4 linked regions of the Macaca fascicularis genome follow. The protein of the gene in region 1 purifies or fractionates together with the protein of each later gene. This does not show direct contact. Links are inferred from orthologs where the notes say so. Each region holds a gene or a part of one and is shown in the gene's direction. Other genes may lie near its edges.

Region 1 (3,395 bases):
ATGAAATGCTCCCCCTTTTCTTACATTATAGTAAATGAATAGACTGCCAAATTTTATACAGTCTATTTGGGCTGTCTATGAAAGATACATAGGGATCCCCAAATTGGTGAATATCATAGCTGACAAATACAGTCTAATCATGGCATATGTTAATAAGTAGATGATGGACTGTAGTTGGCCAGTGGCTTAGTCAGTAGTCATTTATTAACTAGGCAACCATTTTGTGCACATCAACTCCTCATCATGGATCCTTTGGCATTACTAAAAGTGTACTGTCAAAACCATGAATGATAAATCTGTGAACATAAAAAGGTATATTTTATAAATGATACTCTGTCCTTTATTTCCTGAGTTAACTATTTCCCACCTCTAAAATTTCCTCCTATCCTGATTTTTCTCATCAAATAGAAAAGGAATCATAAACCTTAAGATACCTGGAGATAGAAGGGCTTTCTTTTTAATAGGACATGGAGTTGAGTGACTTATGACATTGTAAAAAGATCATCATAAACTGTGTTCCTCCTACCTTCAGTGAAAGCTCTTTAGCCCTACAGAGCAGCAGAGAACTTTAGTTGAATAATTAAACTATATTTGAATAATTAAACTTTATTTGAAAAGTTAAACTACATTTATGTTTTATGCTTCTTTTCTCTCAAAATTCAACCAGATGAAATAATCCTAGAATTGAGGTACAAAATCGTAATCTTTAAGTGAAAATCAACCTTCACATTAAAGTAAGAATAAAAGTGGAATAGTTGTGTAGTATACATTTAGGAAAGCCTAGGATGAAAAGAGAACGATGTACTCAAGAACAGAAAAAAAGAACCACTACAGAAAATTTGTTGATGGTTAGAAAATAACAACAAACAACACTAGGTACAGAGATTACATGATCACTTATTAGACCACTAGTCTCACATTTTTACTTCTACTGTGGTGTAGTACCTTTCTATTTCAGACTAATGCAAGTAATTGTTGTAAAATTCAAGTCTGAATTTCTTCAGTGACTTCTCATCACTTAAGAATAAAATCAGACTGCTTAGGTTTTAATCGTGGGATCCCTTCTTATCTATCCAACTTGGTTTTTTTTCACTCTCTCTACCACTCTGCTCTCCATCTCAAACTTTATCCTATAGTAGTACCAGTATTCACCAGATATATTGCACTTCTTCATGCTTCTTTTTAAAGTGTGATCCCCAGAGACCTCAGCATAACTTGGAAACTAGTTAGAAATACAGTTTCTTGGGCTCTACTTCAAGGCCTACTAAATCAGAAACCCTGAGGGCAGGCTAAGCAAGCTAAGCCTTTTAGGTGATTCTGATGTACCTTAAATTTGAAAACTGCCACCTTAACCCTTTTCTTTTTTTAACCTCAGCCATTAACTACCATACTGTCAATATCACTTTTATTTGTGCAACTCTTAATCTACATCTCAAACTCTATGTCAGTCCTATTTTTTAAGTTGTATATTGGACATCTGTCCTGGATATCCTTTCAGTACTTCAGACTATCTAGGCCCTGAGCAAAATTCATTATCCATCTCCTGAAACCTACTTTACATACTGTTTCCTATTTTCTCTCAGCCTGGCAGCTTTGATTCTTAGATTGTACAATATTTTCTCATTATTTTTTATGTTGTCTTGCTGCAGAGGAACAGGGGGAAAAAAGATTTTTAAAAAACTGTACTAACCAAAAAAGGGTCAGGATTTTTCATGCAATAAAGTTACTATTGTTTGTAGAGCCATCTGTTAAAATGTATTTTTATCTTACTTCTTCCCTCCTTCCCTCTGCCTCTTTCCTTGCTGTATCCTTCTTTCTCTCTCAAGAACTTAGAGACTGTATTTTGAATCTTAACCTCAGTTGTGCAAGTTCTGTGGTAAAGGTGGACAGGTGAAAGCTTGTACCAGCATCAGATGTTGAAGCCAGGCAACATTTCAGATATCCCTGAACAGTTCTTACAGTAGGTTCTCAATAAATACTTTCTAAATGAGTAAGTTAGCAAGTAGATGAGTCTCAAAGGACTGGGTAGATTTCCAGGGTCAAAAGAGCATAGTGAGATTGTGGCTGGAGATGTAAGAAACTTAAAGGATTTAAGCAATAAGGAGTGAGAAATTTTGATAGTAAATGTTTATTAAATGAATAAATGAAAAGCTTTAAAAAACAGATAGCCATTGTCACAAATGGTTAGGTATTTCCTTCTCTGAAGGAGGAGGGATAAATTATTATTTCAGTGTAAACTTTGAAGTTTGATTTTTAGAATTCATGTTTATATGGGTACATCCCATTTAGTTTGATATACATTTAAAATAATTTCTTATGTTGATTTATGTAACAGTATTCTAATGTTTGAACATATATCTTAGACTATAAATTTTAACTGTTACAGTTTGTTCTGTTTTTGTTGAACAGGAAAAACAATGATACATACTTGAAAGTTATTGTATTATTAATTTGTTTTCATAATGTGAGATATTCTCTCACAAAGCACTTATGTTTTAAGTTATAATTTAAAATACCTTTCTTTTTAACATGCACACAGGAAACCTCGACCTGTCTCCCAGTTGGTTGCACAGCAGGTTACTCAGCAGTTTGTGCCTCCTACACAGTCAAAGAAAGAGAAAAAAGATAAAGTAGAAAAAGAAAAAAATGAAAAAGAAACAACTAGCAAAAAGAATAGCCATAAGAAAACCAGGTAAATTTGAAGAGTGTTTTATGACATTTTTGAAATAATAAAACCATTTAATTTTTTAACCATTGATATACTAATACACACAAAGTGGAAGTAAAATATTTGGTTTCCTTTCTTTTAAGGTATCAGAAAAGGTTTTACTGAGTTTGAAAGATACATTGGAAATTAAACACAGAAGCCACAAATACAAGCTTAAATGTGGTGATGCTTTTTTCTTTGTACTAGATTGGAAGACATTGTATCTGGGTGTTTTGTTTTGTTTTGTTTTTCCCTTAAGAAGAGCTGTTTGAACCAGGAGTGGTTTTCAAAATACCGAACAGATAATTGCATGGGTTTTAACCTATCAAAATGGTCATGTGTTCAGTCAGAACAATCATGATACCCTTATTAGTGTGTGTCAGTGGAGTAACAATCTTCCTTGCATGTAGCTCAACCTTAGTTTTTATCACCTTGCTCCATGGTGCAGCTATTTCATTGTTGTCTAAAACATCTATTTTAATAAAGTTAATAAGCTGTCTGCAAAATTATGATACAGCTATAGAAGCACAAGTTCTACTTCTAGGCTGTCACAGTTTTTGGTCGCATTGAAGAATATTCATGAATGATTGGTTTGATTAATGTTAATGAGTTGAAACATTTTACGATGTTTTTGTGGCTGGTTACACATAAATTGCTTTAAATATGTGTATTCATTTTGTTACTTTCA
Region 2 (4,734 bases), on another chromosome or scaffold:
TCAGGAGGCTGAGACACTACAATTCCTTGAACCTGGGAGGCAGAGGTTGCAGTGAGCTGAGATTATGCCTTTGTATTCTAGCCTGGGTAACAGACTGAGACTCGGTCTCAAAAAAAAAAAAAGTTTAAAAACCTGTCATCACAATCAGAGTGCAGGAAGTATAAGAGCTGCAAGTTGACATGGATCTGTCTGACTTCAAACCTTGGGTTCTTTCCACTACAGCCAATATGTCCCAAATCCAGTTGTGCATAACAATTGCCTGGAGAACATGTTAAAATATGTTTTTCCAGATTCCCACTCAAGACTGACTCAGAAAATGGTAATACTAGTATGGCACTTTTCTCTGAGTTGTTATAAGGATTATACATAATGAATATTAGAATGTTTTATAAACTTCAAATATAACATCATATGCTTACAATTTAATGCTCTTTATTACACATGATCATCTAATACCCTTTCTTTTGATTTTCTAGTCAGGGAATAATTTTCTGATAATTAGGCTTATGAAGTACCTTGAAATTAGAAAAGGGTGCCACAAACTATATTTTGGCTTAATAACCACATTATAAATGGATACATTTAATTTTTAATCTATAAATAAGAACTCTTGAGCTTGACCATCGCTAGTCAAATTCTTCAAGCTTAATCATCTCTTTAAGAATTGATGAAATCGTTCTGAAATCGGCAAAGCTGAAGAATGGAGTTCAAAGCAGAAAAGGTGTGAATTGTTTTAAGTGGGGGTTTCATGGGAGTAAAATATTAGGTTTTGGCCTGAAGGGCAGTTTGTGAATATGTTACAAAGTTAATTGGTTCTGATGCCTGACCACTTTTTCTGAGTTAGGAGACGGTGTTTTTTTTTTTCTCGTTTCCAATATACCGTATCTCGTATGAGGTGGAACCAGTAACTGTGATACAGGCATGTCCCTGACTCCTTTAAAACGCCGCATGCTCTTATCACCCTGCTTTCCCCAACAGTAGCAGTGAGTTTAGCAAGAAAGGGCTCATCTTCTATCCCAAGGGAAATTCCAAGTGCCATTTCCACTCTCATGTGGGGCTCCTGGTAAGTTGCATTTAAATTAGCATTCTTTTTCATTGGCCAGGAAAGGCTGGCAGTTCATTTGTAGGCAAATACCCTTGCTGTTTTTTTTTTTTTTTTTTTTTGAATCTTTACAAAGTCACTCAGCAGGCACACACTTAACGCTTGCTCCGTGGAGAAAGGTTAAACGGTTTCCCCAAGACCACACAGATCAAACAAGTCGGGGAGGAGGGGCTCAAAGTGCCTGGTATACCTCGCCACACTCCCATAATTACCCAAACCGTCTCATTCCAAGCCCAAGGATCGGGCTTTCAAAGGGGACACGAAAGGAACGCCCGGGAGGTGAGCGCCAGGAGATCGGGAGAGGTGCCTTTCCCGGCATGCTCTGCAGCACACCGAGGGGCGCCAGGCGTATCCCGGCGTGCATCGGGGAGCGCCCAAGGGCGATGGTTCCCGGCTCCTGGAGAGGCGCGCGAAGTTAAGCCGGTAGGTGCGAGCTTCCTTAGCTTTGAACCTCTGGTTTCTCGTTTCCTCTTTATGAGTTTAATTCCATAATGGCAGAAAAGGATGGCCCTCTAACTACCCTCCCTCTCCGCGTGCGAACGACTCGGCGCCGCTTCGAGCTCGGTGCCAGGTGATTAGCGGGTAGGGGCGGGCCGGCGACCAGCACGTGACCCGAACTGGCAGCCAATGACTAGCCGGGTGGTCCAGCAGCGCGAGGATTCCGGGACCCGCGAGCGGAACGGCGCGTGGGTCGGTTGCTGTCGGCCCTGGCAGGTACGCGCAGGCGCTTTGCTTGCCACGCGCTACGCCCGTCCCCACGCGCCTGGTGGCGTGTTCTTGGCGCGAGGTGTTAACAGTCTGGGTGTTTTTGTGAGTTGGGGGGAAGGAGAAGGTGGCGGGGAGGGGGCTGAGGCGTCACGTGGACGCCACAGCCAATCTCAGGCCGAGGCGCACCCACAGCTTTCCCCGGCGCCCCGGGGTGCGACGTGTTCATTGAGGTTCGACCGGGCCCTGACGGCCTGAGCGCTCTTTCGAAGCGCGTGTGCGGCCCGTAAATTCTGGCCGCGGCTTTTCGCGGCGTCCTGCTCCGCGGCAAGCACAGACGACAAGTTCTCAGCAAAATGGCTGCTGGAAAGAGTCGCCAAGCAGGGGGAGCGCTGGGGCCGCGTGAAGGTCACATGACGAGGTTGGCAGCGCGTGCTGCTGGCGCGGGGCAGGGGGAGGGTGGGGGGGGCGTGGCGGGTCACGTGCCTTCGACTGCGCCGGCCTGTGGTTTTCCAGCGTCTTTGCTGCGGTCGGATTGCCTGTTTTTACTCCTCCCACCTCGAAGCGTGGCAAGCGTCGGTGAGAAGCTGTGTGGTGTACTGGGATGAGCCGAGATCTGGGAATTCGGAGGCCTGGGGTCCAGGCCTTTGGCTGGTTTCATCTTGCCACTCTCGGCTTCCATTTCTCATTCAGCTCAGTAGAGGAGATCACCTCTTAAGGCCCCTCATACGGCCTCTGACTTCCTCACTTCAATTTCAATGCAGAAAAAAAAAAATTTAACAAATTCTTAACAATTATAATGAGACAACCGCCCCCCCCCCCAAAAAAAAAACCCACAGCCTCTCCCCTCTCAATCTTTACAGTGATGTGGGAAACCTGGTAGAGGTAATTTGTTATAATATTCTGGGCATGTCTCTCCATCTTTATCATTCCCATTTATACTTTATAGGGGCCCACGACCTCATTTGAAAAATACTGTCTTTTAGACATCTAATCCCTATGTATTTTCTGGGAGGAAATCAAAAGGTAACTACTATTGTCATAACTGTGGAGATGGGGAAATAGTAGTATTTAAAGGGAAATGCTGATCACCCATAACGCTGACTAGAAGGGCCTAGAAGTCTTCGTTTCCACTTGATGGGCTAGCTTTGTAAAATTTTAGAGACCTGGTAGCCTGTGGCATTTTTCTTGGTCTCTGCTCCCAGTTCCAGCTCTTTATTTCACCAAAGAAGGGTCAAGGCGTTGGTGAAGAAAAGTATAAATTGTTTTCCACACCACTGCTTATGTTTTATGATACCTTTTGATTTATCTTAAAAAGAGCCTTTGAAGATTGTGCGAACACATCTGGAAAACATTTATTGAGCAATCATAATAGCTGTCACTTTTGAGTAATTATAATAGTTAACATCTTTCTGGCTTGGTGTTTTAAATACTTTGTACTGTATTTAATTTATTTAGTTCTCATAACAAACCTGCGAGGTAAGTACTGTTATTTCCATTTTACCACTGAGGAAAATAGCAACAGAGAGATATGGCTGGCAGTTTTACATGATTCCAACCAGATTTCCTTTTGAAAACTTGACAAAATGGTTTTAAAATTCATTTGAAAAAGTAAACCTAGAAAGTAAGAAACTTTTTGGAAGAGAAGAATGGGAAAAGGACTTGTACTAGAGAATATACAAATAAAGCTTTGATAATCAAAATGTAAGTAGCAACCCTGGAACACAAGAGTGGTGAAACAGAATAATCTAGAAATATATAAGATTATTTAGTGTTACAAAGGTGGTATTTCATATCAGTAGGGAAGGGGTTCCAAAATTTATGTTGGAACAATCAACTGTTTGGAGAAAGAATGGGATTTTTACCTTAAAATTTAAATAAAATTGCCGGGCGTGGTGGTTCACGCTTGTAATCCCAGCACTTTGGAAGGCTGAGGCGGGCGGATCACCTGAGGTCGGGAGTTCCAGACCAGCCTGACCAACATGGAGAAACCCCGTCTCGACTAAAAATACAAAATTAGCCAGGCATGGTGGCGCATGCCTGTAATCATAGCTACTTGGGATGCTTGAACCCGGGAGGTGGAGGTTGCAGTGACCAGAGATTGCGCCATTGCACTCCAGCCTGGGCAACAAGAGTGAAACTCTGTCTCCAAAAAAAAAAAAAAAAAAACTAGGTGAATTATATATATATATGTGTGTATGTGTGTGTGTGTGTATATATATATATATATTTTTTTTTTTTTTTGAGAGGGAGTTTTGGGCTTGTCCCCAGGCTGGAGTGCAGTGATGCTCACTGCAACCTCTGCCTCCTGGGTTCAAGCAATTCTGCCTCAGACTTCTGAGTAGCTGGGATTACAGGTGTCCGTCACTACACCTGGCTAATTTTTGTAATTTCAGTTGAGATGGGATTTCGCCATGTTGGCCATGCTGGTCTGGAATTCCTGACGTCAAGTGATCCTCCAGCCCCATAGAGATGGGGTCTCACTATGTTACTCCAGGCTGGTCTTGAATTCCTGGGTTTGAGCAATCCTCCCACCTGGGCCTCCCAAAGTGCTAGGATTATAGACATGAGCCACCGAGCCTAGCCAAATTAAATTTTTTTTTTTTTTTTGAGAGTCTCACTCTGTGGGCCCAGGCTGGAGTGCAATGGCATGGTCTCGGCTCACTGCAACCTCCGCTTCCTGGGTTCAAGCAGTTCTCCTGCCTCAACCTCCCAAGTAGCTGGGATTATAGGTGTAGGCCACAACACCCAGCTAATTTTTGTATTTTTTTAAAAATTTTATTTTTTGAGATGGAGTCTCGCTGTGTTGCTCAGGCTGGAGTACAGTGGCGTGATCTCGGCTCACTGCAACCTACGCCTCCCAGGTTCAAGTGATTCTTCTGCCTCAGCCTCCCAAGTAGCTGGGACTACCGGCAGACTATGCCTGC
Region 3 (4,592 bases), on another chromosome or scaffold:
TTATGTTTTTTTCCTTCCCATGGGACTTGTTGCATACTCTTAAAATGGCGGCAGGGCAGACACGTTTGCTTGCACAGCTGTGAGCTGCATGCATAAAAGCAGGGATGGTTTTGGCCTAAGGCAGGGATGGTTTTGGTCTTATCCGTTATGGCATCCCCTTGTGGCACATGTTAGGTGTTCAAAAAATATTGGTGGAATGGATGTGATTACACTTCATGCCACAGTATATAAATATGATTTTAACTGGACAGGGAACTGCCCAAGTTTCCCATATTGATCCTTTTTGCGATCTTAATTATGGTACTCTGAGCTGGGATACTGCCTAAACTGCCTGGGCTACAACAAACTCTAAAGGGCTTTTACTTTCACGTCCACAGTGGTTGAGGGTTCGCGTTCTGTGAATGCTGGAACCTCACGCGAGTAGCTGAGTAGCGAGGATGGTCACTCCCGGATAAATGAATACAGGATTCTCGCGGCTGGGAGCGGTCGCCCGGCGAGGTCGGTCATCCTGCCTGTCCGGTAACACCACGAAACACCTGCCACTGATACCTCCCCACCAGCTCCCGAGGGTTCGCGCCGGCATCCCGAGCCGCACCCCCTGTTCCGCCGCAGCCGGATTCCCTCCAGGGCGGGTTACGCCCCTAGGCGCAAAACAGAACCACTTCGCATCAAGAAGACAAAGTATAACCAGTCACACCAAAAAGAGGCAGCATTATTTAGACAGCCGGCTACTCCCCCAGAGACTCCACCCAGTCCCCTGGGCCCGGCGTTCAGCGCGCCGACGGTGCCCGGCTCCAGGAGCTCCAGCTCCCTCCACGTGTCCTGTCTTCCCAGCAGCCTCCTCTGCCGCCTCTGGAGGAAAATCTCCTGACAACTCGCGGTCTGCGGACTACGACTCCCAGGAGGCGCCGCGCCGCGGCTCTCCCCGCCCCCTTTCCGGGACGCGCAGGCGCCCTGGGCTCCGTCTACCAGCCTGGCTGGCGACGCCTGGATGCGGTTTCTTCCGGGATTTGTAGTTTTTCTGGAGTTACCCGGGCCGTCTGTCAAAGGGACAAAAACTACAAGTCTCGGCTGCCCCAGCGCTGCGAGCTTGGTCACGTGGCGGGGGCCGACCGGGCGTGCGTGCCGCCGTTGATCCGGTGCTGCAGTGAGGAGGTGGTTCTTGCCCGTGTTGTGTGTGTGTGTGAGTGAGAGAGCGAGTGAGTGAGTGAGTGAGTGTGTGTGTGGGGGGACTCGGCTTGTTGTTGTCGGTGACTTCCCCCTCCCCTTCACCCCTTCCCCTCCCCGCCGCCGCTGCAGTGGCCGCTCCCTGGGCTGTAGGAAATGAGCGATAACGATGACATCGAGGTGGAGAGCGACGTGAGTCCTGGGGCTTCTTCCTTCCCGTGCGGGTTGTCAGGCGGGGACAGCGGCCGGGGCTCTCAGCGGGGCGACGGCGGGAGGGGGCCGGGCCGCCGCCGCCTCCTTCCCCTTCCCCTTTCCCTCGGGGCCAGGACTGCCTCCGTCGCGTTCCCGGCTCGCTCCCCTACGGCTCCTGGCCGGAGCGGCCTCCTGGGACTGGAGGTGGGGGGAAGACACGCGGCTTCTGGGACTCCCACCTTCTCCCGTGGGGGAGGGTGCTGCGGCCTCCCGCTCCCACCTTCCCGGGCTCAGGATCCGGGGGACAAGGATGGGGGGCGCCCGGGATCCCATTGTCCGGATCCAGGGGAAGGGGACGGCGTTCAGGACCTGCCCCTTCGGAACGCGATCCTCTCCTCCCGTGACCCGCGGATCCTGGGGGGCGAGGAAGGGCGGAGAGGGGTTGGGGGTGCCTAGATGCCCGAGCTGGGTCTGCAGGGAGGAGACAGTGCTCGGGACCCCTCTGGCCCGGGTCGGATCCCGGAAGGAGGGGCGGCGCTCGGGACCCCTCTATCCCGCTACCGGATCCCGCCGAGGGTGGAAGGGTGGGGGCAAGGGGTGGGGAGGGAGGAAGGGGTGTCGGGCTGACTCCCCACCCTCCGCTTCCTCTGCCGCCGGCATTTTCTTTCTTATTATTGAATGTTAAGTGTAAAAATAACTTCTATATTTTCTATTTTTTTTTCTCTCCTATTCCAGGAAGAGCAACCGAGGTTTCAATCTGCGGTACGTCTCCTACTCTCCATTTCATTTTTATTTCCGTTCAGTTCTATTCCTTTTTGGGGTCAGAGAGAAAAAGAGATCGTACTGTTACTTTTAATATTGTAGTAAATCACTAATGTTAACCACTAAGGTGAGGTGGGGCCTGGTTCTGGAGGGTGGGGGAGTTGCAAATCCTATCATTCTAGATTCTCAGGTGATAAGTTCAGTAAGAGGAGCTGTATGCAAAGAATTGAATTGTTCTGTAGTTTTCAAATAGGGGATCCAGCTGCCGCTATGTAAGTGGAAATGAGAAATGCAGCATTCTGAAGTCAGTGGTAGTATTATTTCAGGGCAAAGTGGTCAGAAGATTTATTTAGGAACAAGTAGATTTTAAACCATATCTGTATAATTATGTGAAGCTGAAGCCACATGCAATAATCGCCTTTAACCAAGTCATGTGACTGCTATAGACCTGTAGAATCTAGCACAATGTGGTATTCTAACACAAAAATTGGAAATGTAGAGGAGCCAAACGTTGCATCATCAAAGTGTCACATAAAGTTATTATGGTCTGATTCTCTGTATTTGAAGAAGAGGTATAAAGAAAATTAAAAAATAGCTGAAGAAAAGTGGCATTGCAGGAAGAGCTTTGCTGAAAGGTGATGGATGAGACCATATAATGTTATCAATAATTTTTTAGGGTTTTGATATTAATGTTCCCAGTAGATGGTTCTGTGGATTTAGATATGCACTAATTTCATGTCTCTGGAGTCTGAGACAGTAATATGGGTTTTTCATGAATAGATTAGAGGGGAAAAAAAGAAAACATATAGAATAAATCAGAATCAGAGGGGAAGAGAAATAAGTATATCAGAATTCTAATATTTGAAATTGGGAACAGTAGGAAGTGTATAGAATGGGGGTAAAAAATTTGAATGCCCATGAGGGCCATAAAGAATAAAGAAAGAAGAGGTGAGGACTTGGGTACTGGAGAGCAATGCCTCTCCTAAAAGGTCAGCCACTACTGAATTCCAGTGGTTTGTTATGTAGGAGTGAAGGGTCAGTATTGCCAGATCTTCCTATTTTTTATTTTATTTTATTTTATTTATTTATTTTTGAGATAGAGTCTCGCTCTGTCACCAGGCTGGAGTGCAATGGTGCTGTCTCGGCTCACTGCAACCTCCGCCTCCTGGGTTCAAGCGATTCTTCTGCCTCAGCCTCCTGAGTAGCTGGGACTACAGACGCACACCCCCACATCCAGCTAATTTTTGTATTTTTAGTAGAGACGGGGTTTCACCTTGTTGGCCAGGCTGGTCTTGATCTCTTGACCTCGTGATCCGCCCACCTCGGCCTCCCAAAGTGCTGGAATTACAGGCGTGAGCCACCGCGCCCAGCTGATCTTCCTATTTTTTAAGAAAGATTAGAAATCCAAAGCGTTATGTTATTTTTCTGATTTTTAAAATGATGTGTGGAACAACTGTTTGGGCTTGTTAGAATTTGCAGGATGTCACTTTGATACCTCTGGTATAAGAACCTAATAATCACAGGATAAAGGCAAGCCATCTCAGTTGTACCTGCTCTTCATTAGAGCAAGCAAAGATTATGCAGGTTGTCTAAGCAAATAGGCATTAAGAAAACTTATTTATTGAGAGCTGGTATTTTCTTAAAATCCGGGGATGTAGTTGTTCCAGAAATCTTAAAAATTATCCCTGGGTAATAGTCATTAAAGATAATTTATTTTGTTTTATTTATCCTTGAAGTATTCTCATATACTTATGCATATATTTGAAAATTGAATTCGTTTTTTTCGTTTACTTTTATCCTTCATGTTTGGGGCCTAGTCTGTTGAAAACTTTTTTTTTCCTGCAAGTCTCCAGTTGTAAAATCTGTGCCAGGGCTTGATCAGAGACAGAGGGTAAGGATCGTTAGGCTTCCTTTGCAGAATTATCCTTTGAATTGGAATTATACTGAATCCTAGTAAGAGAAAGTTTTTTTTTTTTTTTTTTTTTTTTTTTTGGTGAAATTTTGGCTCACAGTTCTTGAAAGCGTTCTGCTTTTCAAAATATTCGTCCACATGATTGTTGATGTAAATTTGTTTATTAAATTATTACAATGTTTCTGCTTTCCTGGAATGCTAATCTCACTGTTTTGTCTAGATGTTTTTAGTTTGCTATTAAGGTGCCTAGGGTTTTTCCTTTTGATTTTCGGAGTAGGCAAGGGAAGTTGGTTTGACACTTTGTTTTTAATTTAACACATCTATTTGTTGAGATTTCTAAGTATTACTCTGCACAATATAATTACAACAGCATGGAGAGAAAAAGCAGATGTGTTTTAGACAAATTTTATAGTGTATCAGACAACTATCGTGAATGTGTAGGGTAAAAAGGATTCCATTTTTTCCCCTCTGTGAATGCATCTGCTTACTTCTTAATATTTAATATAGATAATAAATATATTTTTTTTAAATTTAAGAGGGAGCTATTCTTAAGTTTTGC
Region 4 (4,623 bases), on another chromosome or scaffold:
CACTTTCTCACCCCGTAAAACAGACATACCAGTAGGAAAAAAAAAAATCAAACCTGGCCCTTTAAGTCTTCCGTGATCCCATTTCGGAGTTTCCTCTTCCCAAACAAAAATAGACGGGTCACTCCCTAGAAGATCTCGGGGAGAGGCTCCTATACGTGTTGCCGTGTAGCTTCCGTAACGCAAAATGGCGCTATTCTGATCAGCAGAGTTGACACAATCAAATAGCCACACGGCACGGAGACGCATGCGTGGCGACAACAACAACAAAAACCACCACCCACATTACTTGATGGCTCAGGCGTGCGCAAAGCTCCCGGTTCAGTTTCCCGCGCTGGAACTTTTCCAATAGTAAACGAGCAAAGCTCCGCGCGCCCAGGTGGCGCGAGCGCTAGGATCTGTCGGTTGGGGTCCTACTTTTACATAACGCCCCCACAATGCCCTTCGCCTTCCTCTACGTGGCCCCCGCTCCAAGCCCATTTTCTGGAGCTAGGAATCCACTCTCTGGGTTAGGAAAGGCCCTCAGGAGGCGGAGGGAAACCTGTGGAATGCCGAGAAGCCGTGTAATGAAATAACGTCACGCCTGCCCCTCACCATTACTCTGACCAGGGTTCGAAGGTCACACTTAGAGACTAAGGGGAAATGGAGAAGTGCAAGGGGACGAGCAGAATGGCTGGCACCACCTCAGGTTAGCGCACTGGGCCGTTCTGGTTCTCACCCAGCCCAGCCCAGCCCAGCCCAGCCCAGCCCAGCCCAGCCCAGCCCAGCCCTCCCAACCCAAGTCCCTACGCACGGAGCCAAGCCGCACCTCTCGCCTCATGAGGCCGGAGCCCGGAGTAAAACAGAAGGCCCGTCAAGGGTCTCTGGCGGGACTGACTCGCACTAGGGGCCCAACAGGCAATAAGGACCCAGCGCATTGGCCAAGGATAGGCCAGTCCCCAGGGAAGCAGCACCGCGTCGGGACTAGAGGGCAACTGTGAGGAGAGCTGCGAGGAGGGGTCCAGCCTGGCTCCCTCCTTTCCCCGCCCTAAGTCAGCTTCTTCGCCCAGTGAGCACACAACTGTATTGCCCAGGCTCCCAGGCCCCGAACGCCATACCTGGTTTCCGCTTCCGGTGGCTTCTCGTTGCGCCCCGCCCGCAAGCGTCCTCCTCCGGGGCTTCGTGACAGCCAGGTCGTGCGCGGGTCATCCTGGGATTGGTAGTTCGCTTTCCCTCACTTAGCCGGTTTCTCTCTCTACCGGGGACTCCGCGTCCCGGCATCCACCGCGGCACCTGACCCTTGGCGCTTGCGTGTTGCCCTCTTCCCCACCCTCCCCAATTTCCACTCCCCCCACCCCACTTCGCCTGCCGCGGTCGGGTCCGCGGCCTGCGCTGTAGCGGTCGCCGCCGTTCCTTCGAAGTAGCAACTTCCCTACCCCACCCCAGTCCTGGTCCCCGTCCAGCTGGTGAGTCTGAGGTCTTCGCTGCTCCTAGTCGCTTGTCGCTGGGAGCCGCACATGGGTCTCCGCACTTTGATATGGGGGCGGGGGGAGGAAGCAACCAGGTCCGGCAAGGAGGGAGAGGTGGCTTGAGGAGCGGAGGGGGGATGTGTGGAATCCGGTGAAAGGGACCTGACAGTCGCCCCCAACCCTTGAGAAAAGGAGGCGCCCGATTCTTGCTTGAGAGTGATAAACTTGGAAATCCTTGGGAAAGGCGCCGGGGTCGTGCAGAGACTTGCATTGGTACGGAGCCTGAGTCGAGGTCCCTGCCGGAGTTGACACAGAGAAGAGAGGGCCCTGGCTTTCGGGAGCTCCAGGGACGTGGGTCGGGCTGGTGGGTCAAAGTATCTGTTGGCTTCTTTCAAGTGGTGGGACCCCAAAGAATGTTTAACGTCAAAGAAAAGGGAACTGAGATGTAAATTGGAGGAGTTGGAGAGGAGTGCTTCAGAGTTTGGGATCCTTTAAGAAAGGGTGGTTCTAATGTGGGAGGAGGGAGGATACCCGAGGCAGGGAAGGAGAACTTGAGCTTTACTGACACTCTTTTTTTCAGCTGACGTGAAGATGAGCAGCTCAGAGGAGGTGTCCTGGATTTCCTGGTTCTGTGGGCTCCGTGGCAATGAATTCTTCTGTGAAGTGAGTTCTCTTCGACCTCCCTACTTGCTGGCTTCACATATCTTCCCACCAGATGTTCCTTCACGTATTCCACTTCTACACTGTTCTCTTACATACTACTTGAAAACTTCCCATCAACGAAGAGTCCCCTCAATAACCCCCGACGAACCTGTGCTAAAGTGGCAAAACTGGGGCCCAAGTTTCGACTCTGCCACCCTCCAGCAGGCAATTTGTGTCTTTTTCTTTATCTTTTTTTTGAGACTGGGTCTCACTGTGTCGCCCAGGCTGGAGTGTAGTGGTGCGATCTCGGCTCACTGCGACCTCTGCCCCCCAGGTTCAAGCGATTCTCCTGCTCCAGCCACCCAAGTAGCTGGGATTACAAGTACCCGCCACCACGCCCGGCTAATTTTTGGATTTTTAGTAGAGACAGGGTTTCACCATGTTGGCCAGGCTGGTCTCAAACTCCAGACCTCAGGTGATCTGCCCGCCTCAGCCTCCCAAAGTGCTGGGATTACAGGCATAAGCCATTGCGCCCAGCCTGTATCTTTTATTACTAAAGTTGTACTGCTAGTACCTGTCTCAGCTGGCTGTTAGGAAAATTGAAATGCTACGTATTGAAATGTTTTGTTCAGAAACCATGCCGTTCAGCTTCCATCCTCCTCAGCCAGCTGAGAGGACAAAACTGGTTCCTAGAGATGGAGTACAGGAGTAGGGACAGAGATCTTGAAAAGAATGTCTAAGAAAAAGATTGCTGTACCTGCTTATCCTTAGAAAAGAAAAGCCAAAGCTTTATGGGAGGGAGTATAGGTGAACTAGGGAGAGACGCAAGTACTTCTGCTGAGTTGGGAGTGAGAAACAAGCGGAACAGATGCAGTTGTGTTGATGATAAGGCATCAGTTAGAGCATTTTGCCCAGGTCAAAGATGGGGATTTTGATATGGGTTCCCTCTTGGCTTCCATGTCCCAACAGGTGGATGAAGACTACATCCAGGACAAATTTAATCTTACTGGACTCAATGAGCAGGTTCCTCACTATCGACAAGCTCTAGACATGATCTTGGACCTGGAGCCTGGTGAGGCACCCTCAGGGTTGTTTTGTGTGTGTGCATGCACTTTTTTTCTCTTCAAATCTATATTCACTTACTTGAATTTTGAAATTTCCTTTGGTTCTCTGATTTCTTTAACCCCAAATTCATGCTTTATTTTGATCCTCCACCTGACTGTGTCTAGTTTTGTGACGTATATCACTTGTTCCCATGTTTTCTAAATCCACAATTCAGATGTTTTCCAAAATATGTTTCCTCATGGGTCTGGTTTGCTATTTCTCCTGCTTTGCACCTTCCAGTCTAGAGTTTCATCTTTTGCATTGACATTGTTGCAGTTATGTATCGGGGAGGGAGCTGGGAGGGAGAGTGGGGAGCGGAGGCTAAAGAGGTGTGAAGAGAAGACAGAGCTGTCTTGGGTTGGCGCAAGGGTCAGAAGCCCAGGTTTCTGGGTCACATGCCCAGATGTTGGATGGGGTAAGGCCCAAAAGTAGGTGCCAGGCGAACTGAATAGCCCGCACCCCCTGGATATGGGCAGGGCACCTAGGAAAGCTGAAAAACAAGTGGTTGCATTTGGCCGGGCTGTGTTTCAGATGAAGAACTGGAAGACAACCCCAACCAGAGTGACCTGATTGAGCAGGCTGCCGAGATGCTTTATGGATTGATCCACGCCCGCTACATCCTTACCAACCGTGGCATTGCCCAGATGGTGAGGCCTCTCTGCTCCTAATTGCCTCCTTCTGAGCAGTAAGGGACACAGGTTCCTGCAGCAAGAAGTCATGTTTAAGCCTTGTTTAAGGAAACTGGCTGAGAAGAGGAGAAGAACCCCAGGCTTGGGCCTGGGAATTGAATTCTGATTGGGGGTCATCCTGAAGGGATAATTTTCAGGGAGGGAGACAGTCCTTGAACAGAGAGTTGTGATAGACTGCCTCTTCCTCAGGGAACAAACAACAAATGGCTCTGATGGTTTGTAGCCTGCCTAACTGGAAGAAAGGCAACATAGGAGTTTGAGAGCCCATCTGGGCCAGAGAAGGGGCCTCTGGACAGAGGTGGGAGGAGTGGGGGACAGAGTGATATGGGTTGAGCTGAGAAGGGAGTTGCCTCTTCTCTTCACACCTACCTGCCAACCCCTTCCATTTTATTCACTTCAGTTGGAAAAGTACCAGCAGGGAGACTTTGGTTACTGTCCTCGTGTGTACTGTGAGAACCAGCCAATGCTTCCCATCGGTGAGTGTTGAAGAAGGGAAAGGAAGGCACCTTGTGGCAGTCTTACGGGAAGGAGTTAGGGCTCAGCATCTTGGGGCCTGAGTCCTGAGGGGAGGTTAAGTAGGAACAGGGAGATACCTGGCCTGCTGAGTCTGGCTGTCTCCCAGGCCTTTCAGACATCCCAGGTGAAGCCATGGTGAAGCTCTACTGCCCCAAGTGCATGGATGTGTACACACCCAAGTCATCGAGACACCATCACACGGATGGCGCCTACTTTGGCACTGGTTT

What was found. Proteins that work in one complex are often made in the same cells at the same time.
Region 2: the proteins of YAF2 (region 1) and MGA purify together in Homo sapiens (affinity purification with mass spectrometry; 5 studies listed by BioGRID and IntAct, counting the BioPlex papers as one, with this or other methods). This does not show direct contact. The link is inferred for Macaca fascicularis from reciprocal best matches to the Homo sapiens genes YAF2 and MGA.
Region 3: the proteins of YAF2 (region 1) and MAX purify together in Homo sapiens (affinity purification with mass spectrometry; 3 studies listed by BioGRID and IntAct, with this or other methods). This does not show direct contact. The link is inferred for Macaca fascicularis from reciprocal best matches to the Homo sapiens genes YAF2 and MAX.
Region 4: the proteins of YAF2 (region 1) and CSNK2B purify together in Homo sapiens (affinity purification with mass spectrometry; 5 studies listed by BioGRID and IntAct, counting the BioPlex papers as one, with this or other methods). This does not show direct contact. The link is inferred for Macaca fascicularis from reciprocal best matches to the Homo sapiens genes YAF2 and CSNK2B.

Annotation. Positions count from the first base shown.
Region 1 is NC_088385.1:48,735,225-48,738,619, reverse strand, and holds part of YAF2 (YY1-associated factor 2), read left to right. Parts: intron 1-1,826; exon of another isoform or gene 1,827-1,913; coding exon of another isoform or gene 1,914-1,960; intron 1,961-2,539; coding exon 2,540-2,692; intron 2,693-3,395. UniProt on the Homo sapiens protein: Binds to MYC and inhibits MYC-mediated transactivation. Also binds to MYCN and enhances MYCN-dependent transcriptional activation. Increases calpain 2-mediated proteolysis of YY1 in vitro.
Region 2 is NC_088381.1:18,190,877-18,195,610, forward strand, and holds the start of MGA (MAX gene-associated protein), read left to right. Parts: upstream 1-1,450; 5' UTR 1,451-1,525; exon of another isoform or gene 1,526-2,228; intron 2,229-4,734. UniProt on the Homo sapiens protein: Functions as a dual-specificity transcription factor, regulating the expression of both MAX-network and T-box family target genes. Functions as a repressor or an activator.
Region 3 is NC_088381.1:132,921,624-132,926,215, reverse strand, and holds the start of MAX (protein max), read left to right. Parts: upstream 1-1,308; 5' UTR 1,309-1,323; coding exon 1,324-1,563; intron 1,564-1,984; exon of another isoform or gene 1,985-2,037; coding exon of another isoform or gene 2,038-2,094; coding exon 2,095-2,121; intron 2,122-4,592. UniProt on the Homo sapiens protein: Transcription regulator. Forms a sequence-specific DNA-binding protein complex with MYC or MAD which recognizes the core sequence 5'-CAC[GA]TG-3'. The MYC:MAX complex is a transcriptional activator, whereas the MAD:MAX complex is a repressor.
Region 4 is NC_088378.1:140,053,637-140,058,259, reverse strand, and holds the start of CSNK2B (casein kinase II subunit beta), read left to right. Parts: upstream 1-1,339; 5' UTR 1,340-1,442; intron 1,443-2,025; 5' UTR 2,026-2,036; coding exon 2,037-2,108; intron 2,109-3,056; coding exon 3,057-3,159; intron 3,160-3,722; coding exon 3,723-3,838; intron 3,839-4,280; coding exon 4,281-4,356; intron 4,357-4,502; coding exon 4,503-4,623. UniProt on the Homo sapiens protein: Regulatory subunit of casein kinase II/CK2.